4 linked regions of the Diceros bicornis minor genome follow. The protein of the gene in region 4 interacts with the protein of the main gene of each other region in a pairwise test. Links are inferred from orthologs where the notes say so. Each region holds a gene or a part of one and is shown on either strand. Other genes may lie near its edges.

What was found.
Region 1: the proteins of UBQLN1 (region 4) and TMCO6 interact in binary tests that used the Homo sapiens proteins (3 or more experiments, as listed by UniProt). The two-hybrid records come from large-scale screens. The link is inferred for Diceros bicornis minor from reciprocal best matches to the Homo sapiens genes UBQLN1 and TMCO6.
Region 2: the proteins of UBQLN1 (region 4) and HSD17B12 interact in binary tests that used the Homo sapiens proteins (3 or more experiments, as listed by UniProt). The link is inferred for Diceros bicornis minor from reciprocal best matches to the Homo sapiens genes UBQLN1 and HSD17B12.
Region 3: the proteins of UBQLN1 (region 4) and HK2 interact in binary tests that used the Homo sapiens proteins (3 or more experiments, as listed by UniProt). The two-hybrid records come from large-scale screens. The link is inferred for Diceros bicornis minor from reciprocal best matches to the Homo sapiens genes UBQLN1 and HK2.

Annotation. Positions count from the first base shown.
Region 1 is NC_080740.1:58,879,880-58,886,833, reverse strand, and holds the start of TMCO6 (transmembrane and coiled-coil domain-containing protein 6), read right to left. Parts: upstream 3,007-6,954; 5' UTR 2,948-3,006; coding exon 2,863-2,947; intron 2,729-2,862; coding exon 2,616-2,728; intron 2,400-2,615; exon of another isoform or gene 1,177-2,399; coding exon of another isoform or gene 1,078-1,176; coding exon 962-1,077; intron 857-961; coding exon 673-856; intron 397-672; coding exon 292-396; intron 116-291; coding exon 30-115; intron 1-29.
Region 2 is NC_080770.1:26,214,903-26,222,738, forward strand, and holds the start of HSD17B12 (very-long-chain 3-oxoacyl-CoA reductase), read right to left. Parts: upstream 3,020-7,836; 5' UTR 2,938-3,019; coding exon 2,778-2,937; intron 1-2,777. UniProt on the Homo sapiens protein: Catalyzes the second of the four reactions of the long-chain fatty acids elongation cycle. This endoplasmic reticulum-bound enzymatic process, allows the addition of two carbons to the chain of long- and very long-chain fatty acids/VLCFAs per cycle.
Region 3 is NC_080751.1:14,204,586-14,211,711, forward strand, and holds the start of HK2 (hexokinase-2), read right to left. Parts: upstream 3,009-7,126; 5' UTR 2,572-3,008; coding exon 2,509-2,571; intron 1-2,508. UniProt on the Homo sapiens protein: Catalyzes the phosphorylation of hexose, such as D-glucose and D-fructose, to hexose 6-phosphate (D-glucose 6-phosphate and D-fructose 6-phosphate, respectively).
Region 4 is NC_080761.1:10,137,893-10,145,407, reverse strand, and holds the start of UBQLN1 (ubiquilin-1), read right to left. Parts: upstream 3,019-7,515; 5' UTR 3,009-3,018; coding exon 2,829-3,008; intron 1-2,828. UniProt on the Homo sapiens protein: Plays an important role in the regulation of different protein degradation mechanisms and pathways including ubiquitin-proteasome system (UPS), autophagy and endoplasmic reticulum-associated protein degradation (ERAD) pathway.

The sequences.
Region 1 (6,954 bases), on a different chromosome or scaffold from region 4:
TGCATGTCTGGAGGCATAATTTCACTTACGGGATGATCTTCTCTGGAGCTTCCTTAGCCTGCAGAAGCTGGGACAAGGCATATCCAAGGGCTTCTAGCACAGTCAGATGGGGGGACTGGAAGTAGACAGGGTAGAGATCTGACTCTGGAAGCTGCGCCATAAAATTTCCTGAGCCTTTCAACCCCTCAGCCCAGGGCAGAGGCTGGAGCTGTCCAGCCAAAGCAGGTGGGGCATGTGGAAAGAAGTGAAGGGAGGGTTACCCGGAGAGCGAGAAAGGAGGTGGAGACTCACCTGGATGCAGGCAGCCAAGGCAGGAACAATGCCCTGTGGCAGGAGCTGCCTTCTCACAGCCTCACTCTCCACGATCAGGTTACCCAGTGTATACAGACAGAGCTCCTGAGAGCAGGACAACAAAAGCACTGGGCTTGGCCTTCTGGGGCCAGGGTGGGGGTGGGGGTGGGGGTAAGGGTGGGGGTGGGAGTGGGGAGGATGGAGCAGCCCTGTCCTTGAGGCTCTGGGCACAAGGGAGTGGGAGATGATGAGTGTATGTATGGCTGTGGGCATCAGGGGAAACAGGTTTTCTTCTTCTCCCTACCTGCCAGCTCAAACTGGACCCAAAAGCACAAGCTTTAAATCCAAGCCAAGAACAAGATAAGAAGGGACAGGGCTTACTATAAAGTCTGAGCTGTGACCGGAGAGGTAGGTGAGAAGGTAGGAAGTGGCTGGCAGGCAGGCCTCAGCCACCGCAGACTGCTCAGAATGAGAGAGCTCATGAAGGCACCGAGCCGCCTCAAGCTGCAGGAGAGCCTGGTTGCTGGTCAGGAGGCCGACCAGAGTCCGCATGCTTCCCTCCAGCCTACGTGAGTGAGCACCAGAGCCCTGCTCAGCCTGTGGCCCATCCTTTCCACACTCCTGTCCATCCTCAGAGCCCCAGCCACCCACTCACACCACCCACACTGACCAGATGAAGGTCTGCTGCGTCTCAGGGTGCTGCAAGCCTCGACGAAGGCTGACCAGAGCCCTCTCTCTCTCCTTTTCCTCTGTCCCCCGCTGGGCTAACCGCAGGAACTGCTGGATCTGGACCCCAGGGCACGGAGAGGAGAGATGGCAACACACAGTTGCCAAAAAGCAAGTCATAAGTCCTGCTCTGCCCACTTCACCTATGAGCCCTCCCATATCACACCATCCCTAGAACTTGTCACTCACACTATGGCTAATCAGCACCAACCTTGCAGTAGAGTGGACAAGTGGGAATCAGAACTGGGTTTAATACCAACCCTGCCACTTACTCTACAAGGGACCTAAACCTCAGTTTCTCACCTGAAAAATGGAAATAACATCTACCCCGCCTTCTTACAGAGTTGTTTCAAGGATAACCTCTCAGCATAACCCACCCCTCCAGCTATTCTCCCCATGCAACCTGCACTCCAACAACACCTAGCATAACATGACTTGTGTTGTAATGCTGCCAAGCTTTTGTACTATCTATTTCTTCTGCCTGGCATACCCTCCCCAGGTCCTCCACTTCCTTCAGAGCTCTACTCCTGTCACTGCCTCTGGGAAGTCAGCTCTTTCTGGCTTCCTCTGGCAGACTTAGAGCTTTCTATTGTGCTTCATGTTTCCTCTATGACAGGTGGTAGCACATCCGTCTCCTTCACTGGGCTGTGAACACTTCAAAGAAAGGGACTATTTTTTCATCTCTTCGTACCTCAGTACCCAGCACAGTGTTCTGGCATAACGTAAGCACACATGAATAAATGGTATAACCTAGGCGTCCTCTGTAAACGGTATATGTAAACATAGAAAATATAAGTACAGGGAATGCCCAATGCTTGCTGAATGAATAAACGAGCTAAAACCAATTATTTCATTCACTTATTCAATAAATTTTGAGCATCTACTATATGCCAAATGTTGTACAGGCATCTGAGTTTTCAGTGATGACAAATAAGATAGGGTCTAGGTTCCCATGATTTAAAGTCTAGTTGAAGAAACGATAATAAACAAGCAAACAATTAGTATCATTAATATTCTGCAAACAGGCTATCAAGACAGCATACCAAAAGGGACCCACATTAGATACAGAAAATCCAAAGGCCTTGAAGACAGGAAAGAGCTTGATATATTGTTCCAAGAACTGAAAAGGTGACAGTTTGGCTGAGATGAGCAAGCTTAGATAAAGTTGGAGGTAGGAAATGGTTAAACCATGCCGGACTTTATAGGTCACAGCAAGGATTTTGGTCTCTGTGTGTTATTAAGACACATCTGACTGACGTATGGAGAATAAATTTGAGAACGGCAAGCAGAGATGCAGATGACCTGTTAGGAGGCTGCTGTAAGTATCCAGAGAAGAGGGTGGTGGCAGCTGCGATGGCGAGGCAGGTAAAGACTCCAGAGCTCTTTAAGAGGTAAAATACGGATAGGACTTGATGATGTATTGATATGAGGATGAGGGGCGGAGTCGCCGAGGATGATGCCTCGTTTCTGGCTTGGCCCACTGGATGGATGGAGGTGTTGAACCGACCGCGTTCAGGTCTGGGGGCGGACCTCGGGTACCGGAGGAAGGAATCTGGCGCCAGCCGGCGTGGACCTCACCGCGCACCCTGCCCCCTCACCTCGGCTTCCCCGAGGATCATGGCCACACATCCCTCTTCGGCTTCCCCCGGGGCGTCGTCTCTCAGCAGCCTCTTGCTGATCAGCTGCTGCTCCCTCCGTGCCTTCCGCAGTACTGGGGGCCAAGGAGCCGACTGAGCGTGAGAGGGGCGCCCAGGACCCAGAACCCCGACTCCGATCCGAGGGCCTCATCACCCTATCTCTTCCCGCCATACCCTCATCCTCCCGTGCTCCTTCGCCCGCCCGCACCTGCCTCCCGCTCCCGCCGGCGGCGCCGTAGCTCCTCCAGGCCACAGCCCGCCGGCATGAGGCTGCCCCGCCGTCGGCTCCACATGGTGGAGCTGGAAGTCAGGAACGCGACCCCCGGGCGTGGAAGACCACACGGAGCGCGCAGCCGCAGCGCAGGGCGGAAGGGGAAGCGAGTAGGCGGGGCACGTCGAGAGGGGGTGGCGGGGCGGGGCGACGGGCGCAGCTAGGGGCTGGGGCGGGGCGAGGAGCAGGCGAAGGGAGCGTGGGGCGGACCGGGGAAGAGTAGAGACGAAGGGAGGGTTGAGTGGCGCTGGGCGAAGCCTAGAGGCGGGATGAGACCTGGGTGGAGAAGCAAGCGAAGGAGCGTCCCCCGCTCGGGCACTAATTGGTTTCTTTCTTGCCCAGTTCCAGCCAAGAAGGTGACTCAATCCCGACCCCTGCCGCCCAGGCCAGTAGCATCACCTTCCACTCAGCAAACGCAACCTCCCCACCCCTAACACCTCCTGGACAAACATTCAAAACTACACGGAGCATGGGGCTGGCCCCGTGGCTTAGTGGTTAAGTTCGCGCGCTCCGCTTTGGTGGCCCGAGGTTCGCAGGCCCAGAACCCTTGGCGCGGACTTATGCACCATTTATCAAGCCATACTGTGGCAGGCGTCCCACATAGAAAGTAGAGGAAGATGGGTAGGGATGTTAGCCCAGGGCCAATCTTCCTCAGCAAAAAGACCAGGATCGCAAGGGATGTTAATTAGGTCAGGGCTAATGTTCCTCACCAAAAAAAAAAAGAAAGGAAAAAAAAAAAAAACCTACCCCGAACTCTAAGAAGACACAGGATGCCTTTTCACCAGTAACGGCTCACACTAACGAGCGCTGGCTAAACACTGGACGTGCATTACCTTACTGACTGTTTGCCATGACCATTATCCCCATTTTATGGGTGAGAAAAATGAGACAAATATAGTAATTATTTCACTGTTCTCCATAAAAGTGAGTTGCATTATTTTTAGGATAAATTAATTCTTTCACCAAACTTTGAGCGCCACTAATCTACTAGTTACTAAGGAAACACTGGTGAGTTAAAAACCATGTTCTTCACCCTCAAAATCCGAATTGTGGCCTATTAAGCCCTACATGGTCTAATCCCTGCATACCTCTCCAGCCGCGACTGGAAAGGTGCCCCTCCATACTCATCTCTCCTGCGATCTTCTCTTTGCTACCTAAACAAGCCCGGCTCTTTTCCTCCTCCTGGCTTTTGCACAGGCCGTTACTCTGCCTAGAGCCCTGTCTCTGTCTGTCCCTCCACCCAACCAGCACCCTTTCCTTAATAAACACCATCCTCAAGATCTCAACTCCAGTGTCCCCTTCTCAGAACTACTGGACCAGTGTCCCTTTTATAAGAGCGTATAGCACCATATACTTCGCCTTCAAAACCCTTGTCACAGCTGTCATTATAGTGTAAGTGTTTGATGTTGTCTCCCCCCAAATCCCCTTCACAGCTCCAAGAGAGTAGAGTCCTGGTAGAGCTTAAGAATTTTTACTGGAGGGCCAGCCCCATGGCTTGGCGGTTGAGTGCACGCGCTCCGCTGCTGGCAGCCCGGGGTTCGGACCCTGGACTCGCAGCGATGCACCGCTTCTCTGGCCATGCTGAGACCGCGTCCCACGTGCAGCAACTGGAAGGATGTGCAACTATGATATACAACTATCCACTGGGGCTTTGGGGGAAAAAAATAAATAAAATTATTTAAAAAAAAAAGAATTTTTACTGGAGTCCTCTAATTTTTAGAAAGCTATTACGCAGGCAAATTCACAAGTACAAACAAATCCAGGAAAGGGAGTTGTTCTTCAAATCAACTTCCTTCCCTTGAATTTAATTCCACCGCTTGCAGGAAATCCGTGAAGTCTTTGATGTCTTCCACAAAACATCTAGTTAAATATCTGCAGACCATCATCCTGTCCTCCACATCTTCTCTCCAAGCCCAGCATCCAGCCAGCCCCTGGACAGCCATTTGTTGAGCACCTGCTGTGTACCATGCTCTGGCTGGGGATAGGGTCTGGGTCTTGTCCCTTTGCTCCTGGGACAGGCTGGCTTCTAACACCTACGTCTTTTTCCTGGTGGGGAAGGTAAGATAAATCCCTAGGCAAAATCTGTGTTCCTCCCAGAGTGTCTGCTTAGACAGTTATAGCTACCCAAACTGTTTTTTTTGCATTTATCTGCCTGGCAACACTGTCAACCGTGTAAGAAACAGCCCCATGACCTCTTTACTACATGGCTAGCTGTTCCTTTCTCTAGAGCTCCCGTAAGTCCTTGGTCTCTCCTTTGTAAGGGTCCTCTTCACTATGGACTGTAGTTCTGGATCTGTGTTTGCCTCCCCAACCTACTGGAGTACTTGAGGGACTGTGTGATGGTCATGTCTGCATTTTGGGGCTTTGCACTAGTCCTGGCACTTGGTCGACAAATGATGGATATTTGTTGAATCAAGGTGTGAATTGGAGATCTTTGCAGAGGCATTCTTGCCCTTCTTAGCCTGAACCCTTCATCCAGAGTGCCTCTCCTAGAGTGGTGGGATTTGCTGAGGAGCCAGGCTTCAGTGGCCTGAGTCTTCTGAATGCAGAGGCTCTGATGAAGAAGATAACAATCACTATCAATAAATGTGGCTCTGTGCCAAAGACTGTACTCATAGACAGGTACTACTATTATCTTCATTTTACAAAGCAGAAGCCCAGAAATCTGAGGCCCAGAAACTTGCCCAAGTCTCACAACCTCAGTAGTAGAGCTGGGATTTCAAGCGTGGCTGTCTCACTGCAGAGTGAGTGTATTTAACACTGACCTATAGTCACATCTTGGTCCTCAGGGATGTCCCAGTGACCTGGTCTGGCCTTGGGGCATGGCTCAGGATAGCAGGGCATTCTGAATAGGACACACAGAGGGCAGTGTGGTTTAATGAGGCCCCCTTGTTTGACATGAGGACAGCTGTGAAGTTACTTCTGGGAAATAGGGGAAGTGAGAATTCAAACATTTTTCTTTTTTTGCTAAAACATAATTTTATTTGTACTTTTTTTCCCTTTGGTGAGGAAGATCGGCCCTGAGCTAACATCCACTGCCAATCTTCCTCTTTTTGCTGAGGAAGATTGGCCCTGAGCTAACATCTGTGCCCATCTTCCTCTATTTTGTATATGGGTCACCAACACAGCATGATTTGATGAGCGGTGTGTAGGTCGGCGCCCAGGATCCAAACGCGCAAGCCCCAGGCCACGGAAGCAGAGGGTGCAAACTTAACCACTATGCCACAGGGCAAGCACCTCAAACGTTTTTCATGTAGCTCTTTCCCCAGAAACCCAGAGGTGCAGAACTGTGAGCACTGTTGTAAAAGCAAAACCCCTACCCCTCCGGGACACTTTTTTTCTTGGCAAAACATGTGAGTTACTCCTCACCTGAGGAGTTGAATGAGTTAATCCTCATTCAACACAGGGCTGGCCTTTCCTTCCTAGGACATAGGAATTGTGCTGGGGGGAGGGCAGGGGAGAGCTAGGTGCAAGTGGGAAAATTGTGGTAGAAGTACCCTGTTTCTCAATTTCAGGATGAGGACATTGAAACTGTAAGAGATCGAGCAACTTGGCCAATGTGTCTCTGTCAAACACTTCTACTTTTTTTTTTAATTGAGGTAAAATTGGTATATAACATTATATAAGCTTCAAGTGTACATCATTATAATTTGACATCCGTATACACTACAAAGTGATCACCAAAAAAAGTCTAGTTACCATCCATCACCATATACTTAACCCCCTTCTCTCATTTTGCCCACCCCGCAACTCCCTTCCCCTCTTGTAACCAGCAATCTGTTCTCTGTATCAATGAGTTTGTTTTTGTTTGGTTTGGTTTGGTTGCTCATTTTGTTTGTTTTTAGATTCCACATATGAGTGAAATCATATGGTATTTGTCTTTCTCCATCTGACTTATTTCATTTAGCGTAATACCCTCAAGGTCTGTTCATGTTGTTGCAAATGGCAAGATTTCATTCTTTTTATGGCTGAGTGGTATTCTATTGTATATATATATATACACCACATCTTTATCCATTCATCCATCGA
Region 2 (7,836 bases), on a different chromosome or scaffold from region 4:
TAAAAATATGCTATCAACTCAACACACATTACTATAAAATACTTAAAATATTTAATTGGTTATGGAGAGGAAGATGTTAAACGCACATTAGTACTAGAAAGTACAGTCTCTGACTTATGATGGTTCTACTTATGATTTTTCAACTTTAGGATGGTGCAAAAGTGATATGCATTCAGTAGAAACCCTACTTCAAATTTTGAATTTTGATCCTTTCCTGGGCTGCGATATGCATTCAGTAGAAACCCTACATCAAATTTTGAATTTTGATCTTTTCCCGGGCTGCGATATGAGGTATGATCCTCTCTTGTGATACTGCGCAGGGTCAGCGAGTCCTAGCTCTCAGTCAGCCACCAATCATGAGGATAAACAACCGATACACTCACAACCATTCTGTACCCATCCACCCATTCTGTTTTTCACTTTCAGCACAGTATTCAACAAATTACATGAGATATTCAACACTTTATTATAAAATAGGCTTTGTGTTAGATGATTTTGCCCAACAGTAGGCTGATGTCACACGTTCAGGGTGGGCTAGGCTAAGCTATGACGTTCGGTAGGTTAGGTGTATCAAGTGCATTTTCGATTTACGATATTTTCAACTTACACTGGGTTTAACAGGACTGTAACCCCATGACAAGTGGAGGAATATCTGTAGGCAACGCCTCCCTGATGCCTGCTACTAGCATTCATTCCAAGAAGGTTACACAGGAATAGACTCAGATGACAGCAATTTTGTAGGAGAGAAAACTTATCAGCACTATTGACATACAAAATTAATTCTAAAATCATAACTTTGGTTGAACAAATTATCTACCTATTTTTAATCACAATTCAACTAATTATTCAAGTATCATCTCTGCAGGTTTGTTTTTCAAATTATTTCAATTCACCCCTCCAACTGATACAAAGAACTTATTTAAGATAAACTACTCAATCTGTTTTCCCAAGATTCCCTGAATTTGGAGAGATAAAGGAAATACTGTAATATCCAGGCCACCACATATGAGTAATGCTACAAATAACAATTTAATCATTTCTTCTGCTCAGACTTTGAAAAGAGAGATTTTCCAACAATCCAGGGTAAACTGAACTCGACAATAGTTCACTTCATGACACCATGATCCTGTCTGCTATATCCCAGTGTTCTAGTTCAAATTTCACTTCTAAATCTTTTAAACACTTCCCTTAATTTATCAACGATCCTTCCTCTAGGACCAAATCTTTTCAATACAAATATTACTTATGAAATGACAATGTCATATCTCTTGACTTTTACGATGGACTCATATATAGATGACTTGGACCATCTGAATTATTAGCCACTATGGTCAATTTTAGACAGTAAAAAAAAAAAGTTAACATTTGTCTTTCCTTACAAATGACAAAACTTCGTCTTGATACATGATAGCCAAGGGCACTAAGTCTTGTGTAACTATTTCAAAAGTCCACAAGGAAGCTTTCCAAACCTGACAACCAAGAACCCGGCCAAGTCCATTGTGAAATTATAATCCTGACTATAATCAAGCTGAGCACTTCACTTGATTTTTCAAAGAATATCCAAAAACAAGAAATGATTTTTAAAAATAAGTATTATAATGTTAATAGCTGCTCCACATCACGGACAGAGCTCACATATCCGTTCCTACCTGAGATGTTTTCTCTTTATGTTGCTGTCCCAAAAGGTTAATTTATTATGTTTTTCCTAGTAAGTTGTTTATTGAATGAATAAAGTGAAGAATATGGAGTAACACTGTTTATCTTACTTGAGCCTAGTCTGAAAGCAACCCCCAACCATCCCAAAATTCAGTAAAATGTTTGGTGCAGCAAACATTCAATTATAAAACATCATAATGAATAATCACAACAGAGAACGACCACAGCATATCACTCGGTTTAAAAAAACAAAAAAAAAAGGTAAAAGGAACGAAAAATAAAGAAAAGCAACATAAAAGGCAGAAGCAGCAAAAAAGCAAGCGCAAAACTCCCCTGCAGATCATTTCCCCAGCTTCTCCAATCCGACCTTAGTCCTCTATTTTTAAAATCTTCCTCCGACTGGACCAAGGTCCATTCGTTTAGCTCACTCTTTGTGGGAATACTTTTTCCTACAAAGGTCCTTTTGCAAAAAGTATTTCTGATTTTAACATGATTTACCGCTTTGCAGAAGCAAATTTTTGCTACTCATTAGGACTCCAAAACAGTTTCGCGAGGATTAAAAAAAGAAGAAAAAAGATTTTGTAAATTATATGAAATAGCCCAAATTCAAGTAACTGGAGAGGTAAGATTCCAAAGAGCAGAAAGACTTCTGAAATTCCAAGTCCGCTTCCTCCATCCTCACCCCAAAAGCCCACAGAAGGCTTTTCATCCCTAGCACAAGGCCAGTACTCAAAGCAAGCGAAAAATGTTCTTTAAAAGCACTCGTAAGGGGCAAGCCAAGAAGGGTAGCGTGTGACTGAGGAGGCAGCAGGGCGACTGACTCCGGGCCTTGAAACCGGAATGGCTTAAAGAACGCAAGCCCCAGGGAGTTCAGGCCAGATTTCTCCTGCACCCACGCATGGCACTTGAGATTCGCTGAGCTGGGCCAGCAGTGTATTTAGGATCTGAAAACTCTGCAAGTCTAAGCAAGCCAGAAGATGGCTACGGAGGCGGGAGCAGGAGCCTCAGGAAGGAGGAGAGGGGAGCTGGGGAGGGAAGGCCAAGCGCTGGGCCCAAGCGGGCCCTGAGCCCCGCGAGCCGCAGCAGGAGCGAGGGGGCGGGCGGCCCTGGATCCGACTCACCTGCCCATTCACCGAGCCCCGGTCCGACCCCCGCCTCGTGACCCAAACCCCAGACCCGGAGGGCCGTGAAGAGCGACCATGAGATGCGCAGGGCCAGGTAGGCCACGGTGGCCGCGCCCACCCAGTACAGGAAGCAGGCGGCAGGCATGGCGCTCTCCATGGCTTTCAACCAGGCCTCACTAGCTCCGTGAATGAACAAAACCTATGAATGAACCCAGGAACAGGCGCCGACCGTGACGGTGAGGACGACACTAACAGGCGCAGCTCCTACACCGTTTTGGGCCTAAACCCCGCCCACGACGCCATATCCGTGCCGCTATTGGTGATCTATCTTTCCCTCTGCGCATAGTGCGTCAGCTATTGGCTGGTTCACTGCCCCGCCCACGAACCCTCCCACGCCCCTGGTGGCGTCCCCGTCCTGAGGCGGCTGATCGCTCACCTGCCAATCAGGCTTCAGCCCCGCCCAACGCGTCACCACGCCCCCAAGATTCCGCCAGAGGGCGGCAAATCTCACCGCACCAAATTTCCCAGGCCTCTCATTGGCTGCAGCGGTCCTCGCGACTGCGGAGGCTGCGCTCCGATTGGCCAGCCAGACCCAGCTTGGTTTGAGCTCGGATTTGAAGAGGGAATGGGATCAGAGAAGCCGCTAATGAATGGGAGGATTGTAGTAAGAATTGTGCGTGGAGCTGTGGTTTTATTTCCAGCTCTTGATTAAACACTTCTATATATATCATTGTTGAATATGCTGTCATTGTTTCCATAAACTGTTCCGGATAAAGGTTTGCAGCTGCTGTTTCTGTGCCTTCGCCACAGCACACTTTCGCTCTGGTTACGCTCACTTATTGCGAGCCTTGTAAACGCCAGCCCCCCGCTCCCCCCCTCGCCCCCCACCGCTGAGCATTAAACAACATAGATCCCAATGTCTTGGAGTTCAAGGTCAATAACTTCATGGACTCAAATAACTATCATACACAATGGCATAAGAGCTGTGAGATGAATGAAAAATTTATAGGCACACAGCTTGATGAACAATTAGTTTGGGGAAGGGAGTCCATCTTTCATCTGGGCCTTAAAGGACAAGAGAGATTTTTCATTTTTTTGTTCCGTTTTTTGTTGGGGCGGGGCTGTGGAGTTGCAAGGGCGCACGAAAGTGTGAAGTCCAAGGAGAGGTATGAGAACTACCTCAGCAAAGTTCCAGAGGAGTTCTCACAAAGTAAGTTTAAGAAATTGTGTAATGCAGTAAATTGCTTCACATTTATTCTTTCATCCTCCCATCAAGAGTTTTTGTTTCCTTTTCTGGCATGGAGTTGGGCTCATATGAGATACCGACAATTTTTTTCTTAGCCAGTAGGGGCTGCTGAATCAAGACTTGAGAGTTTTTTGAAAGGCAGGATCTTAAGGGTAATAATTCTAAGGGTCAACAGTTCAACATATCTTAAAGCTCAAGTCATAATTTTATAACATTTGGTTTAAAAGCCTTTTCCCTTCTTGCCCAATCCCCCACTCATTCTCCACTCTCTTATCAGATTAATTAGGTATAACTCTAAGGCTGTTACTATTCTTCATAAACTGTCCATTTTCCCACAGAATTCAGCCATGTGAGTTGAGCTGGCACCATATTTTGCTTTTAATTGAAATTGATACCTTTGGTTGGGGTTGTCTGTCCGTTTCAACTGAAGTCCCACCACTCCTCTTCCTCAGCCTCTTCCTCTTGTCAAAATCTTTGCCTACAGAACCGCCCCAACTTTATATATCCCAACTCATCATTGCTCACCGACAAAGGGCCCTCCAGATATTCAGTCCCATTCTCCTTAGAATAGAGTGGGAGGAGGGGAAGAGAGTTATCCTAAACTAAAAATACATATTTTGTTGCATTTGTATATATGTCTACAGCCCCCACTACAATTTATGGTTATTGAGAACACTATGCTGTGAATCCATAGGACCTAGCATAGTGCCTGGAACCTAGGGACATTCAATAAATGTCTGACAAATAAGTAGAAGTAAAGATTCATTCATTCAACAAATATTATCGTGGTCTAATTATGTACCAGTAACTGAGCTAGGTACTGGGGTATAGGAATGGTCAATTCTTAGTCCTTACTCTATCCTTCAACAATGGGTAGCCACTGTTTTCCTCACCAGCTGCTCTTTCCCAGAGTCCTTTGCTGGCCCCTCCTCTTGCTGGGCTCTAAATGATGCAGTGCCCTTGGGCTCAGACCCCAGCTCTCTTTACTTCTCTACACAGTCTCCCTACATGATTTTATCCAATTCCTTGGTTTTATATATCAACTGCAAGCTGATGACTTCTGGCCAGGCTCAACTTCTGCTCAGAGGTATATATATAAGCATATAGTGGAAAGTGATTACAAAATGGAGTCACACATGTCAAGGGTACCTAAGATGGAGCTGGGAAGCCATTAGGGAAGTGGGGCTCATGCACGTCTCTACCTAGGTGGAATGTAAACTTTTGACCTGTGCTTCACCATTATCATTCCGACCGTCTTCCAAGAAATATACTCACTCCCATAGATAAGAACTTTCTGGCTTAGAGATGGCCTTAGCAACCAACCGCGTATAGCCAAGAAGTAACAGTCGTTGCCAGCATCAGTCACAAATCTTGCAAAACAATCTGTGTAACTTGGCCAGAATTTATCTCTTTTTGCCTTTATAAACTCTTGCCTCTTTTGTTCTCCTCAGGGCACATTTGAGTTTCTACTCAAATCTGTGTCTCCCGAATTGCAATTCTTAAGACCCAAAGTAAACATTTTTGATTCTCTTACAGTTTATGCCTCTTATTCATTGACAATATGTATATCTCCACCTGCCAATCAACATCTCCACTCAGACGTAAAATAAAAAGAACATCTCAAATTTAACATGTTTAAAAGAGAACTCTACCCCCACCCCGCCTACACATACCTCTCTTCCCCTCTTCCCATCTCTGTTCGAGGCGCCACTCTTCACCCCCTTTCTAAGACAAACCTGGGAGTCAACCTCGATTCTTTTCTTTCTAGTACGTTCCCATATCCAATTCTTCAGCAAGTCTTGTTCCCTCTACCTCCAAAATAGATCTTGACTGACTGCTTCTCCCCGTTTCTGCTACTACAAGCTCATCCAAATCACAGCCATTTCTTGCCCAGAATATGGCAATAGTCTCCTAACTGGTCTCCCTGAAGCCTGTCTTGGGGTTTGTTCTTCATGAAGCAACTAGAGTTATTTTTTTTTCCAAGTAAATTGGATATCATTTCTTCTGCTCAAATCCCTTCAAAGACTTTATATCACATTAAGAACAAAATCCTCCAAGACTAGTTTATCTGCCCTGACCTCTCCAGCAGCATCAATGACCCTCTCATGTGCTCACTTGATTCCAGCCACACTTCTTGGAGGTCCTCAAATAAGTCAAGTTCATTCCAGTCTCAGAGCAGTTCTACTTCCTGTTCCTCCTCCCTGGAACCTCTTACTCTCTATTTCCCAAGAATCACTCCTTTCTATTAATCAGGGGTTTTGTTTTGTTTTGTTTTGTTTTTTTGGCTCACACATCCTCCTCCTTAGAGTGGTTTTCTCTGACCACCCTTCATAAATATCCCAAATAGCCTCCTCTCCTTTGCCCTGTCGCTACTTATTCTTTTACCCTTATTTGTTTTCCTTATAACACTAAATGCTTTCAAATTATTTTTTGGCTTTTGTCCATCTTCCCAATAGAATGTAAGTTCATGAGGACAGTGACCTTTTCTTGTCCACCATTGTATCTTCAACTAACACGTGCACCTAAGAGTACCTGACATTTAGTAGGTATGCAATAAATACATGCCTGTTGAATGAATTAATAGATGAAAATAGTCTAGCAGGACAGACAGACATTAAGCAAACATCCAACTAATTATACGGTAAAAACTGTAGTAAGTACAAAGAAGAAATGAATAGGGCTTAAGGAAAGAGGATAAAGGAAGGACCTAATTTAGATGGGGAGAGGAGACCGCCCTGAAAGCCCTTTCCAAGGAAGCAGCATTTGAGCTAGGATAAGCAGCAATTAATCTGTCAAAGAGTAGGGTGGTGTAGAGGAGAGAGCAAGAAATACCCTTTAACAGTTTTGTTGTGGTTTTGAAGAATACATGTATGTGCCTCTAGCACCTACCACGGCATCTGACATAAAATTAAATAGGAATAAAAAATAATTGTTGATTTTCTATTTTTTAAATAAATAAGAACAAGTACCATAGAAATGGACTTTCCATTACTGTTAGAATTCATATTGAGTATGTTATTTTAACTCAAGGAACTTTGAAGATTGAAACCATTTCACTTTGGTATCCATTCTTTTTTTATAAAGTCTGGGTATTACCCATGCAATTAACAGGAATAACCTTTATTAAAAATGCACACATTTATTCTGATCACCTCAGCCTCCTTTTAGGAATATTAACTATTCTATTGACTAAAAGGAAAAAATAGTGGTTTCACAGAGTGAAGTGATATGTGCCAGAGTTAAGCCCTTTGGGATTCAGATGGTTACACACTTTTGGAAATGAACAACAATCTTTTGTCTCTGGATAAAATTTATGAATCACTAAAAACTCGAATGCATACAAGACTCTATAATGATGGTCTACTCCTATTCAGTAGTATTCTGTGCTAAAATTTAACATATAGATCAGGATTCCCAGAGATTGGCAGAGCCATACTAACCAAACCTATGAAACCATTAATAGCTCTCCAAACAAGTAATGCTATAAAACTTTGATCTTTGATGTCAGGTATATCTGGGACCAGATCCCGATTCTACCTCTTATTAGCTGTATGATCGTGTGTGGATTTAGCTACTAAGCATGCAAATTCTACATCTGTTAAAGTGGGACAATGTTACTTAAGCATTTAGCAAAGATTGGCAGATACAAAGTAAGTGTTCAATGAGGTAGGTACTACTCTTATCCTCATTTTACAGATGAGGAAACTGAGGCTTAAACCATTTAAGTAACTTTCCTATGGATACACAGAGAGTAAATAGCAGAATTGGGATTTCAACTAAAAACATGTGGTTCTGAAATTGTGTCTCAAG
Region 3 (7,126 bases), on a different chromosome or scaffold from region 4:
CTCTTGCATTTCAAAATGTCAATCAGCAAAAGTGAGCAAATAACTCTTAGTCTCCTCCTAATGGCACAAAAAACTGGGCTTGTCCATCAGGAGACAAGGGACCCCGATAAGGCTAATTCTGGGCAGGTGAACCTAAGCTTCCCATGCCTCAGACTACAACCCAGAATATGTAAGAAGATGGGGATTTCAGAAGAGTCCAAATCAAGGCCTTTTCAAAAGACTCTAAAATTAAACTCAAGCTTCATCCTTCTCCTAATTCTTCCTTCTAGCAGCAACTTGGAAAGATGCTTCCAAAATATTCTCTCTGATTCTCTTCCTACTTCCTGTTGAATTGCAGGTGGAATCAAACAGCTTGCTCACCTAAGCCAGGAGGCTTAGTCCCAGGCTCTGACACCTGGCAAGTCAAAGGCCAGACTCAATTCTGCCTCTATTGGTAATTTAGAGGAAATACACCAAAGTGTCCCCCAGACACCTCACAGGCTGAAAGGTAGCTGCAAGAACAGAAGAGAAGCCTACAAGAAAGACGATTCCACATCTCTGTGCTTAATCATCACAAGACCACAAAGTGGACAAGGCCACTGATACCATTCCCATTTCACAAGAAGAAATCGGTGGTCCAGAGATAAAGTGACTTGCTCAGGGTCCTGTGGTTAATAAACCACAAAATAGAGATTAGAACTCATATCCAGATACCCTGGCTAGTTCTCTTTCCACTCTGGGACCAAAGCGATGACCCCCATTCCAGGCCAGGAGGGTGGTACACTCCACAATTCTGGTCCTAGCCTCCTTCCTCTGGATTGGGGGAGAGGAAATTTGTAAAGGGAATTAAAATGTCCTGGGGCGATATTCACCCAACTGAGAAGACCTCCCCTGGATTAATGACCCTCCAGCTTTGTATTTTAGGACTTGCCAAGAGATGAGTCTTCCCCAAGGGTTAACTCACTTGTTGGGCAGAGAAGCCCTAAGATGTTGCCAAGATCCTGCCGGCTCACAGACACGTTCTTAAATAAACTGAATTAAAGCGCAGAGCAGAGTCACATCCCAGGTATGAGTTAGAGAGTAACAGCCGTCTGTAAGCAGAGTAAAACTCAACTAAACCAGCCGCTCTCTGCTCCCTACTCCAGTCTGAGGCTGGGTAATGTCATGCTTTCTTTTGGGGTTCATCTGCCACGCCTCTGAAAACACCAAGATGGTAACTCACCCTCCTCTCCTTTGCTCTCAGGATCCCCAGAATGGGAGTACAAGCAGGTCGCCCCACCGAACGATAATGTCAAGACATTTTCCCAAAAATGTGGTCCCACTAAGACATAGAAATTTCAAGTATGTAATTGAGCAACGCTTGGTCATTGCCTCACGGCTCTAAACACCCTCACCCCCCCTCTCCACCCCCACCTCCCCCTCACAGCCCATTCCCTCTTCTCAAGTCCTAGCTGAGGCCCAGGGCCAGGAGCCAATCCTGAAATCCCAGGCATTTCTGAAACTCAATTCTCCCCGGAGTGAGAGCGCCTTGGGCCCAGCCCAGCCCCGCCCCCACCCCATACCCGGAGGCACCGAGAGCTGCGCTCCCGGCTGGGCCGGAGGCTCTTTCTTATGTAAATGAACTGGCCGGAGGGAGAGCTTGGGCTTGAGGGGCTGCTGAGAGCGCGGTGGGCACCGACAGGTCCGGGCCTAGGAAAGGAAAAAGCTGCTTTTGAACAAGAATCTCAAGGAAGACAGGAAAGTGTGTGTGTGTGGAGAAAGGAGGCGGAGGGTCCTCTCCGAATAACTTTTAGGAGCACCATTAGTAACCTCTGAAGTCCACCCCCGACTTGGAGGCTGGCCCCGGGGACTCAGGCGGGCCGTCCGGAGGCAGATCGGGGTAGGGGGGATCTACGCCCCTCGCGGAGCCTGAGTTCCGGACGCCTCAGTTCGGAGGAGGGGGCGCGGCGGGCGGAGTTCTGCCTCTGTCCCGGCTGCTTCCCAGGTCGGCTTCTCCCCAAGCCCACCTCCGCAAGGCGGTGAGGAACGCCAAGGGCAACCGCATGTCCCCAAAACGCAGTCCCTGAGTGCAGGAGGCTCCAGGCAGCCCCACGCGGCAGCGGAGCCTCCTCCCCCAGCCACGACTCTCCCCACGTGCTTTCGCCGGAACTCGGTCTGCGAAAGAGGGGTCCCTCCCACGTGGGCCCAGCAGCCTAAGACTACGTGCCGGGTGACCAGCCCCTCCAAAAACAAAAAAAAAGCGCGAGCGCGAGCAGACTGGCAGGGAGGGAGAGAGCCGCGCGGTGCGCGAGCCCCGGAGACTCGCACGCGCGCACACGCCGGCCGGTGCCTAGCGGACGTGGCTCCTCGCGCCCAGGAGTTTCCCGGCCGCCCTGACTTTTTCTGCGTCCTCGGCCCGGAATGGGGAAGGCGCGGCTCCTCGCAGGGTCAAGCAGGTGAGTCCCGGCCGGCCACGACCCCAGAGAGAGGGCCGGGGACCACGTATCTTTGTTAGAGGAAAGCCAGCCGCCCCCGACCGCGCTTACTTACCTTCTGCACTTGGTCATGGTTGAGCTCCGTGAAGAAGTAGGCGAGCAGATGCGAGGCGATCATCCTGCCGCGGCCGGACAGCAGCGAGTTGGGAAACTGAGGCTGGAGCGCGTGCGAGGGAGGAAGGCGGCGCGATCGGACCGCTTTTTACCCGGGTTTGGCGGCGGGGCCGGGAGCGGTGAGTTCGGGCGGAACACAAAAAAAGGCTAGCGGCGATGGCGCACCTGGCTGGAGGGTCTCGGGTCTCTAGAAACAGGTGTTGAGAGTCACGACTGCTAGATAGGCGCCCAAGAATCACTCCCGGCGACGTGTGGGGTTTTCCCACCGTCAAGGCGCTAACTTCAGCCACAGGATCACTAAGGCTCTGCTTGGGAAAAACTGCAGGCCCGCTCCACTAGGGCGATCAGACCTCTCCGGCTCACACGCGGGCTGCTTTCGCCCACAGATCTTCTCAGTTGGTGACACCGCGGTACTAGCAGTGGAAACTCCTGCGCTGGAGTTTCGTGCAACAATGTGGCTTATTGAAGGGCTGCCGGCTCGCGGGCCGCCCAGTCAGTGACGCGCACACGCCCATTGGCTGCGGGGGGAGGGTGTGTGCGGCCACGGGCCGCCCGCCGCCGCGGCGCAGCCAATCAGTGCGCACGGCCCGCGGGCGCGGCCGCTCCGACACCCGAGCCGGCAAGCTGGAGGGTAGCGCCCGGGGCGGGAGGCGGGGCCGGGCGGCAGGGATGGGACGTGTGGTCCGTGGCGAGAGGCTGGGGCGGAAAGGCGCATGAGCCAGCGCCGCGTCAGGCTAAGCTATGGGTGGGGGGCGCATGATCACAGACCTGGAGTGTGGGGCGACTGGAAAGACGGGTCACGGGACTAGCACACGCCCTGTGCGGGGAGAGAGACACCATCTGACATCTCGGGGTCATGTGAGGGGCCCCCACTGCCAGGTCACATTTCTGAACCACCTTAATTCTCACCTATTGTGGCTCCAGGCATTTGTGCAACGCTGTTGCAGAGTGAACCGCTGCAGCTGCTGCTTTATGTCAGGCATCGCAGAGCTGATAGGATGTCGGTTGCACTAACCTCGTTTTACAGATGAGGAAACTGAGGCACGGGGCCGTTAAGAGACTTACCCGAGGTCACACAGCTGCTAAGTGGCAGATGGAGGTAGGAACCCAGGTCCGTCTGACTTTGAGGCCCTATTCTTTTCCCTGTTATCCTATCCTGCTGCTCTAAGAACCGGGGAAGTAGGGGCAGGAAAGAAGCTTTGTCCGCAGCTGGGGGACAGATACGTTGGTGAAACTGGGTGGGTGACAAGTGTGTAACCGAATGATCCTGGACACGGGTGGGATGGAGTGGGGTGCTTTAGAGGAGTGGGAGCCCCAGCCACAGCTAATGCCTGGCACCAGACTCTGAATTTATATATATGGTGGAAGCTGGCAAGAAGCAAATACTGATACAGCACACATGAGATTAGTGCTTGTGGAGAGTACCAAGCCTGGGGTTGGAGAGGTCTCAGTGGAGGGAAGATGAAGGTCTGCCGTGTTCTACTGAGGAGTTTCTCCTTCTCCCATAAACAGTGGGGTGCTATCTGCAATGTGGTTTTTATTATTATTACACAAGTAATAAATGTTCATTGTTGGAAAATAAGAATATACAAACAGAAAAACAAAAACATCCATGATCCAGCCTCTCAGCAAAACTTCTTGAAAGCTATGTACCCTTGCCAACTACACCTTCTTACCCCTCCTTCCCTGAACTGCAGTCAGACTTGGGTCCCAAACTGCTTTTTTCATAATCACCATAATGACCTACATGTTGCCAAATCCTGTGTTCTCATCTCTTTTCTCCCCTTGCCTTACTCCGCCTCTCAGGGATGCACAATTGACCGCCTCCCCAATCTGGACAAGCTCCACCCTTCTGGTTTCACTCCAACCTCACTTTCCAGGCTCCTCAGCCCTGGTTTCTCTCCTGGTAAATGCTGGAGTATTCCAGGGCTGTCCTCCACCCTCTTCTCTGATCTAGTTCTGCTCTGTCCGTGGGTGATCCCTCCAAGCCCACGACTGTTATATCAGCCACATGGTGATGACTCACTAATGTAAAGCCATAGCGAGGACCTCTCCCGGAACTCCAGACTTATTTCTCCAACTACCATGTGTCATCTCCGTGAAGTGACTAGCATCTCACACTTAACATGTCCAAGGCTGAACTCAACTTTTCTTTCCAAATCTATTCTTTTCCCAGTTGTCTCAGCAAATGGCATCACCGTCCCCGCTAAGTCATCCTTGATTCCTTCCTGCCACTCACCAGTCAATCCATCAGTAAGCAGTGGATTTGGCCCACAAAATAGATCTTGTAATTGGCCACTTCTCTCCGTGTCCTTGGACACCTGCTAGCCAAACCACCACCAACTCAGCCAGAGCCAATGCCACATTGTCCTACCTGGCCCCCTGCTTCCATTCATGTGTACCTCCACCCTGAGCCCTATGGTCTCTTCTTCCCTCAGGGGTCAAAGTGACCTGTTTACAATATAAACCATTCTATGTCTTTCCCTGGCTCAAAGCCATTTAACAGCTTCCAATCTTAGAATAATATTCAAACTCCGTGACAATGACCACTCAGTCTTTAGATGATATGGCCGCTGCCTACCTCTCCACCCCATCACATACTGCTCTCCTCGGTACACTGCTTAACACTCGCTCTGGCATGTTTTCCTCAAAAATATCAAACTCTTTCCCACCCAAGGGCCTTTACTCTTCCTTTTTCTTCTGTTATAGTCTTCTCCAGAACTGTGTCCAGCTGACTCTTCCTTCTCATTGAGGTTTAGCTTAAATATCACTTCCTCAGAGGACTTTCCCCTGACCAGTTGATCTCAAGCAGTTCCCCAAGTCGTTATCACATGCCCTGAGTGATTTCCTATTGACTTTTCTGTATATTCTTTCTATCCTCACTAGAATGTGAGCTCAAGAGGGCAGGATCGCGGCTGGCCTGGTGGCACAAGCGGTTAAGTGCGTGCACTCTGCTTTGGCGGACTGGGGTTCTCAGGTTCCGATCCCAGGAGTGCACTGACGCACCGCTTGTCAAAGCCATGCTGTGGCAGCTTCCCATATAAAGTGGAGGAAGATGGGCAAAGATGTTAGCTCAGGGCCAACCTTCCTCAGCAACAAAAAAAAAAAAAAGAGGAAGATTGGCATCAGATGTTAGCTCAGGGCTGATCTTCCTCACAAAAAAAAAGAGAGGGCAGGATCTGTTGTTCCCCAATATCTGCAGGGGTTAGAACGGTGCCCGTCATGTGGTAGGCATGCAATAAATATATATTGGATAAATGATAGAAGAAATCTTACAGATAACCATTGTTCACATTTTGTATAACAATATACACACACACATACAGATAGAGACAGAGTTTATAGTTTTATATACTATTTCTCAAGTCTTTTCCCTCCTCTCTATCTATGCCAGTTCACACACCCAACATCTCTCACCTGATTGCACCTCCTCATAACTGGGCTTCCCTCTTTAGATATAGAACACTGTAGATATATAGGTTTAGATATCCAACATAGTTTCTTAGAGAATTAATATGATCAAATTTCCCTTTTTTTTTTTTTGAGAAAGATTAGCCCTGAGCTAACATCTGTTGCCAATCCTCCTCTTTTTTTGCTGAGGAAGATTGGCCCTGGGCTAACATCTGTGCCCATCTTCCTCTACTTTATATGGGATGCCACCACAGCATGGCTTTGATAAGTGGTGCATAGGTGCCCGGGATCTGAACCTGCGAACTTCGGGTCGCCGAAGCAGAGCACATGAACTTAACCGCTACGGCACCGGCCAGCCCCTCAAATTTACCTTTTTAGGGCAATAACTGCCCTCTGTGTAGATAGGGGGGAGGAGGTCAGAGGCCAAAGGCAGAAAGAGGCCGAAGCTGGATCAGGGCCTGAACCAAGGAGAGGGTGGGACAGGGAGCCAGGCTATGGGTTCAGATGTTTTAAAGGTGAGGTAGAATTGATGGCTTTGGCTAGGAGTGGGAGATGAAGAGGAGGATGCCTGCTGCCTAGAAATATTTGGAAACCCAATAGTCCACTGCTACAAAACCTGTTGGCCTCAGACAGGTGGGACCAAACCCAGTGGGTCATGTCAGCTATGATCCCTTCTCCACACACCACTTTTAGAGCCTCTTTTCCACTTCCTTCTCTGGTCCCATTTCATGTGGACCAGATAACAATCACAAGGCACTTTAAGTCCATGTTATCTCTTACAAAGCTCCCAATCCCAGGAGGTGGTTGGAGTAGGTACTGTTATAAGCCAGAATACACGACAAACTAAGTGTGGGTTACTCGTACAAGGCTGAGGCTTGTGTCTTCGATTTTTCTGGCTCCAGACTACATGCCTGGAGTTTATTATTTATTGATGCTCAGATCTCTCTCTCTCAATCTCTTGCCCTCTCCCTCTCCCTCCCTCTCTCTCTCTCTTTCACACACACTCGTGCGCGCACACACACACACAAATCTTGAAGAGTGATGAGACATCCATGTAATTTATGCTCCACAGCCCAAGAGAGAAATCAATCAGCAAATATTTATTAAACAAATCCTTACAAAGTTCAGGACAGTCTGCTCAGTGCTGT
Region 4 (7,515 bases):
AGGTCTCTTGCTTACCCCCTCTTTACCTCTAAGATTAGATAAGAATTTTTAGGACTAAATACTTCCCAATTTTTTCCTGAACATTTTTAGTGGAATCAATGTCATTAAGTATATTTTAATGACAAATTTTAATCTGTAGCAAATAGTTTAAATCTATCAAACTCTTTAAGAAAAATTTAAATTACAAAATGACAGATCCTTTTGTGCTTCCTGTAGAATTTTACAAATCATCTGAAAACTGCTTTTCTTATTCTTGCACATTTTCCTCTATGTACTTCCCTTAGACCTCATAGATAATTCGTCTTCAGGTTCTTAATGCAAATGGTGAGCTTCAATTTTCATCATGTTTTCCGCTTCAACAGAAAGCATTTAACAAAATAAAAATTCAACTGCCATCAGAAAAAGTTGCTTCAGAAAAGCTTTAATTTTATCTTATCAAAATTTTACTTTGGTTACAGAGCAATAAAATTAAAACTTCCACAAAATTTAAAATTCTAATTTCACCATCACAAAAACTAAAAATCCTCACAGATATAACATCATAAAATGACCTAAGTGAATTTTCCTACTTATAAAACACTGACTCTTTCTAATCTTTTACAGTAAAATGCTGAAAGCAGCCAGGATAGTGGAGGCCTGAACTAGGAATCTTAGAAAGAAGATCCAAGGACTTCAAAAGTTAATATGGCTACACACCCACTACTAGAGCTAAAATGAAAGACTGACACTATTAAATGTTAGCAGGGATGTGGAGCAACAGGAACTCCCACGCACTGTCAGTAGAATTGCAAAATGGTACAAGCACTCTTTAAAAATATAGTTTCTTATAAAACTAAACCTACAGATGGGGCTGCAAAACGGTACAAGTCCCTTTAAAAATTTCTTACAAAATGAAACCTACAACTAGCTATCCTAAAACCCAGTCATTCCACTTCTAAGTATTTAACATGAGAGAGAAAAGCTTTTGTCCAACAAAAGATCTGTACAAGAGTGTTCACAGCCAACTAACTGGAAACAGCCCAGGTGACCCTCAACAGACAAATGGATAAATTATGGTATATTCACACAATGGAAGACAGCACAACAATAAAAAAGAACTACTGATATACACAACAAGAATGAATCTCAAAAACGTTATGCTGAGTAAAGAGCCTTACCCCAAAGAGTACATAGCATATAATCCCACTTATATGAAGTTTTGGAATACCCAAAACTAATCCATGGCGAAAAAAATCACAACAGTGGTTGATGGAGGGGAGAGCAACTGAACTGATTGAGAAAAAGCAAGAGGGAACTTTCCAGTCAATTATGAAGTTATACATCTTGATAAGGCTTTGGATTGCAGAGATGTATATGTATTTGTGAAATTTCATGGAATGGCAACCATGTGCATTTCATTGCATGTCAAATTTACCTAAAAAAAAAAAATTGCACTCAGTTTAATGACGGACACATTGCTGAAGTGCTCTTAAAGGTAACATGTACCGATATTTACAACTTACTTTGAAATGCATCCAAAAAATAAAAAGGACTGATAAACGATTAGCTGTGTGACAAAGCAAATAAAGCAAAATGTTAATTGTAGGTGATGGACATACAGGTGTTCACTGTACAATTCTTTCAACTTTCTTGTATGTTGGAAAATACAAAAACGTTAAGGAAAATTTTTACAGGAAAATTGACAGACAAAAAAATGTGATTCCCTGGCTGGTAAAAGTTTCTCTCACTTGATGCTACGCACTACTTACTGCTTCACAAAACACACCACCTTTCCGAACTATATACACCAGGCCCTAATCATTTACTATCTCTGGGAAACAAAGGTCGATTTCGGGAACTGCCGTTTCCTGATAAACTTCACATTGAGATCATCAGAGATCAACTCAATTATTATGGAAAATATCCTGGGATGTATATTCAGGAATAAGCTAAAACAATTTGAATTCTTCAAGATTCTTAGTTAACTGCAAAATTTGTATTCCTCAACAGATTTTAAATAGTAAATTATTTGTAATATTCTCCACTAATTCCACTTTTGTTCTCTCTTATTGGATTGCAACCGCTATTATCTGAATAACATAGCTATCATCCGTCTCAAGTTAAACAAAAACCTCCCCAATGACTGGCATCTGAGGGATGACAAATATAGTAAAACGGAAACAGCAAGTCATCAATGAAAGTCATCCACCTTTCTCCTCAGGCCTAGTACTATTACTTAAGATGTGGCTGAAACCAGTTTCTACGTCATAATTTTATTTCTAAAAATTGGAAAGTGGGAAAGATTTTAGCAGTCAAAACGCATATCTAAATGTACACGTGCTCCTCACCCCAAAATCTACCTTAACCCGCGGCAAGGTAAAACAATGAGCACCCCATCCCCCGCTTTTTTTTTTTTTTTTTTAATTCACGAGACAAAACCGCAGACTAGGCTAAAGCGAACCCTCGCCCCAGCCCAGCCTCCACGCCTCCACCCCGCCCGGAGCCGGCGGAGGGTCCCTTCCTTTGTGAGGAGCAAGAGGGAGGCGCTGGGGGCGGGGAGCCGGGGAGGGGGCCGGGGGTCTCCGAAGCAGGAGGGAGGCGCGGACGGCGCGGCGTCGGCGCGTCCCACAAACAGGCCGCGCGGCCCCGCCACAAACCTCTGCGGTGTCGCAAGAAGCAAACCCACGAACTTGGGTGTGATCTCATTTGGGATAAACCCCGGAGAAAGGCCGAGGGCACCTCCGGGGACACCCCCTCCCAAGCCCTTCTAAAACGCCTTCGCCTGCCGGGGGCGGAGGTCCCGCCGCCATCCCCACCCCACCGCAGCCTGAGCCCAGGGCGGCCCGCACCTGCTGGACGGAGCTGTTCTCGGGCACAGCGAACTCCTCCTTCTCCTTCGGGGTCTTCACGGTGACTTTCATGATCTTGGGCTCCGCAGAGGCAGCGGCCGCGGGGGCGCCGGCACCCTCGGCCGCGGCGGCGCCGTCCTGGGAGCTCGGAGGGCCGCCGCTTTCACTCTTCTCGGCCATGGCGGCGGCGGCAGTGACTCAGGCGCGCAGGAGGGAGCAGGCGAGCGAGGGAGAGCCAGGAGACGCCAGAGCCGACCGGCCCGGGCAGCGGAGAATGCGGCGCACGCCGCCGCAATGGCAACGGGCGCGGGGCCACCCTGGCGGGCAAGGGGCCGCGGAGTCGGTGTGGGCTCCGGCGCAGGCCCGGGTCGGGCGCTCGGCAGCCGCCGTGTGTTCAGACGCCGCTTGGTCGCAGCGACATCCGCAGCCGCCGCTTCCTCCTCCCGCCCCTCCCCCCACGTCCCTCCGCCGGCGCCGCGCGGAGCACGCCGGGTAAGGCGGCGGGCGGCGTCGCCGAGTCATATTCGGCGGGCGTCGCTTCGAGCCACGGATGCTGTTCTTGGCCTTTCCCGCTGCATTGCTCAAAGTCTGGGCGCGTTCAGAGAGAAGGACTAAAAGCCAGCTGGAGCGGCAAAAGTCAGTTCATTTTTTTTCACCCCTCTCACTACAAAAATAAATTCGCGGGTTCTAGGAGGCACTATAATGGCGCACGGGGATGACGTCACGGCTAGCGAAATTACTAGAAAGAAGGCTCGACCACTGGGCGCTGCGGCCGGGGATGCGCCTGCGCGCTGGTGGTCCAGGAAGTTTCCCCACCCCGTCACCTTAGGCACCGCGGTGGCCGTGCTCGTGTCTTCGTCTCCGCAGCGCCCCTTCGTGCGTCGCGTACCCTGCTGGGAGGAGGCTGGGTAGTAAATGCCTGCGAGCTGTTCTGTTGTTGCTATTTTAATACGGTTCATTTTTGCCTACTTGGAAGACTTAAAATGCTTGATCGTATTGCCTGGGGTGCGGGAGTTATTAATGAGGGAAAGATCCTCATCATAACGAAAGGAAAATGGAGTAGATGCCTGTAGCCACCCTGCGCAATCCCGCGGAGTCATTGCTTCTTGGCCAGGGCTTCCGCCCTTGGGTCAGCCAGGTTCGGTCAGGTGATCAGAACACCTGTGTCGACAGTGGACTCCGCTCCCGCGCCGACAGCCGTGCGCGAGCATCCCCGAGTTGTCTGTGAACACTATCCCCCAGAATGTTTGGGACGGAAACGGTGCCCAAGGAGTGCCCGCCCCACTGGAACAGTTTAATGTAGCTGAGGTGTTCATTTTATATTCTTCTATCCGGTTAAGTTACTGCGCCATTTCACACTTCAGGTGCTGTTCAAGATAGTTGTTCAAAAACTATTTTCCCTGTAATATGGGTACAAATAAGAAACAGGAAGTTAATTTCTCCCTGAGAATTCTAAATTTGAAATGACGTCATCATTTGCCTTTAAAGATGACTTGCAAGGAATATACAACCCAGAACATTAACTTTATTAATCAGTATTGCGCAAATGTAAACTCTGACAGCTAACTATAACCCAAATATGCAAAGATACGCTCTGTATTTGTTTTTAAAATGTCCAACTCTGTTGTGGGAATAAATACTCTTGCATTAAGACTACTTTTTAGCAGATCCCCTTTGGAATCTGGGTGTAAGAGAAGTTCTGAAAGTATAAGTTCAAATACATACATAGACATCATCAGACAGCAGCTAAATTTCTCGCAGCATTGTTCAGTAACATGAAGAAATTACACAAGGCTCTCTGCTGAAGGATGTCTTCTTGTTTATGTCTAGATGTGGGGTAATCGTTACTTCTCAAGGTAGAAAGTTCCACCATTGGACAACCAATCATTTATCTCTAATCCTGCACTTATAAAAGTGTAATTATCTGTGTCTACATTAATTTCTAAAAAATTCTTATGTGTATGCACAAATTATGAAATTATCTGTGAGAATATACAGTATAGTTAGTTATTTGTTATGGCACTTTTTAGAAATAATCCTACTTTTTAAGGAAACATTGGAGGTGGGGGTCTAGATCAGGGATCAGCAGTCTTTCAGGGAAGACTGGATAGTAAATATGTTATGCTTTGTGGCCATACATTCTCTGTCTCAAATCCTCAGCTCTGCCCTTGTAGCACAGAGCAACCATAGACAATACATACATGAATAAGTGAGGCTGTTTTCCAATAAAACAACTTACAACAACAGGCATAGGATCTGATGTGGCCCACAGAGTCTAGATGTCTATTTGAGGCATTTTCTTCTGAATGATTTTTGTTTATTAAATGGTCAGTCTGAAAAAAAATTACAAGAGCTTATTTATTTAATTCTACAAACATTAAGTGAGGACAATTAATGTCCAAATATTGTTGAGGATAACAAAGACAAATAAGACTCAGTCTCTGCCCTCAAAAAACTTAGTGGCTAGTTGGATGGAGGTTGGGGAGAGAGAGGGAGGGGAAGATAAGCAGTGAGGTGCTGGTAAATGTTTAATAACCAACTCTCCAGAAAACAAGCCAATTTATAGCATTTGCCAAGTTCCTTGATATAAATACTTGCTAAATAGCCAATCTCAAGCTACCAACTTGAGGTCAACTGGCTCACAAAATAACCTGAAATTTCACCAGTCAGTTTCATGAGCCAATATGAGGCAGCTCTAACTGGATAGGTCCCTTTTTATAGGTCCCAATATTCAAACTTAAAGTATACAAGGTTATTATTCACATAGTAGAAGAATACTTCCTTGACAGAATGAGTTAATTCTCAATAAACAAGAATTTATTGAGCAAAGTTTAATCCTATGTCCAGGAACTTATATAACTTCAACACAAGGTAGTACATATGTCATGTCAAAGAAGTGGTGTAAATAACATGCATCATCATTTTACTCTCGTACTTTAAATTCATCATAAGCTTCCACTGTCTGGAAGATAAAACCCAAGCTTCTTAACTAGGATTTCAAGGCCTGCCAAACTAACTCCTGGTCTGTCTTTCACGCTGCACTCTCATTACTCTCTATGGATAAACTCCATTACAGGCAAGCATGTTTATTACCATCTATAGAAGAACTTGTACATTATACTTTTCTCACCTCTGATCATTCCTTCAAGTCATTACACTCCCCACGTTGTGCCTGTTATTGCTACCTCCTCTCTAAAACCTTTCTTGAGCACCCAAGCCTACAGAATCATTTTTTTTCTCTGACCTTTGGCATAATTATTTGTATGCTTCACTTGACTATTTGTCACTTGTAATATTGCTTCCATTACCTAAAACTATTTCTCCTGCTACCAGTCTAGTTCATACCCTCATTAACTCTGGCCTTCATTCCAGCAATAACCTGCAGATTCCTCTGTCTCAGTCTAACGTCTCATCCTCAAAACTATTTTCTGTTGATGCCATATGTTATCCTAGAACTAAGCTTTGATCATGACACCTAGAAAATTTTCAGTAGCTCTCACCAAAGTTTTAGAATAATGTCTAAACTTTTTGGCATGGCATCCAGGGCCCTCTGTGACAACAAAACCTTGCTCATCACTCATATCTTACCCTCAAGCAAACAAGTCCACTAAGTTCTCCAGGCTTGTCTTGTGCTTTCCCGCCTCAAGCCTTCAACACAACATTCTCACTGCAAGTAGAAATTCTTCCCCCTCATTCTGACTCCATTGTTGTTTTTCCCCATCCTTCAAACATCACCTGAAATGTGACTTTCCCTAAAAATTTTTCCCTGATAAGCTTTTTTTTGATCAGAAATATTCTCTAAATACTCTACATTCCCATATAGCTTTATTACCTTTTTGGTGTCACTTATCACATTCTGCCTTGTATTACACTTAATTGTATGCATATTTTAGACATTTTTTAGACAAGGTGCTTGAAAACAAGTCTTAAGCATCATATATACCACACAGTGCCCAAACTAATTTCTTGGCATGAGAGCATTTACTGTTGAACTGAATTGTTGAACTGTCATGTTTTCCACTAGAGAGGAAATTCATTTAGAGCAGTAGATCATACTTTACACCCCTGTCTCACCCAAGGTTTATAGTATAGTGACATATAGATAGATTATAGACAGATACAAACACACATACTTTGAAACTTACTTGCTTTGCAATAGGTTCAGAGGAAGGAAACATTATTCGCTCCCTGCTTGGGGTGGGGGAAAGCGGGAGAGTCAAAAAGGATTTCGAGGGAAATGATTTGAGCCAGGCCTTGAGGAATGGATATGATTTGTTAAGGGTGTTGAGAGGGGCAGCGTCGTGAGAAAGATGCAGTAGTGGGAAACAGAAACTCTGCTAGGGCACTGATCTTAGTGTGGTCCACAGCCTAGGAACAGTCCACAAATATCTCTAGGACTACTTCAAAACAAAGGGAATAGGGTAAGATGTTCAAGTTTCTAAGCCTTAGGGCTAGGGAAGAGATGGTGGTGAGGAGGGGTGTTTACTTTATTAATTTGCCAACTAAAATTTCAGACCACTGGGTAGAGTGTGCAAATACATCTCCAGTCACCACAACCTTTGAATAAAAGCTCCTGAGAAGGAACCTGCAGCTGTGCCAGGAACTGCATAACATACAGAAGCAACAAGAGGGCCAGCAGTGGCACAAGTGAAGGCGATATCGCAAGCTTCTCTGAAGAATACACCTG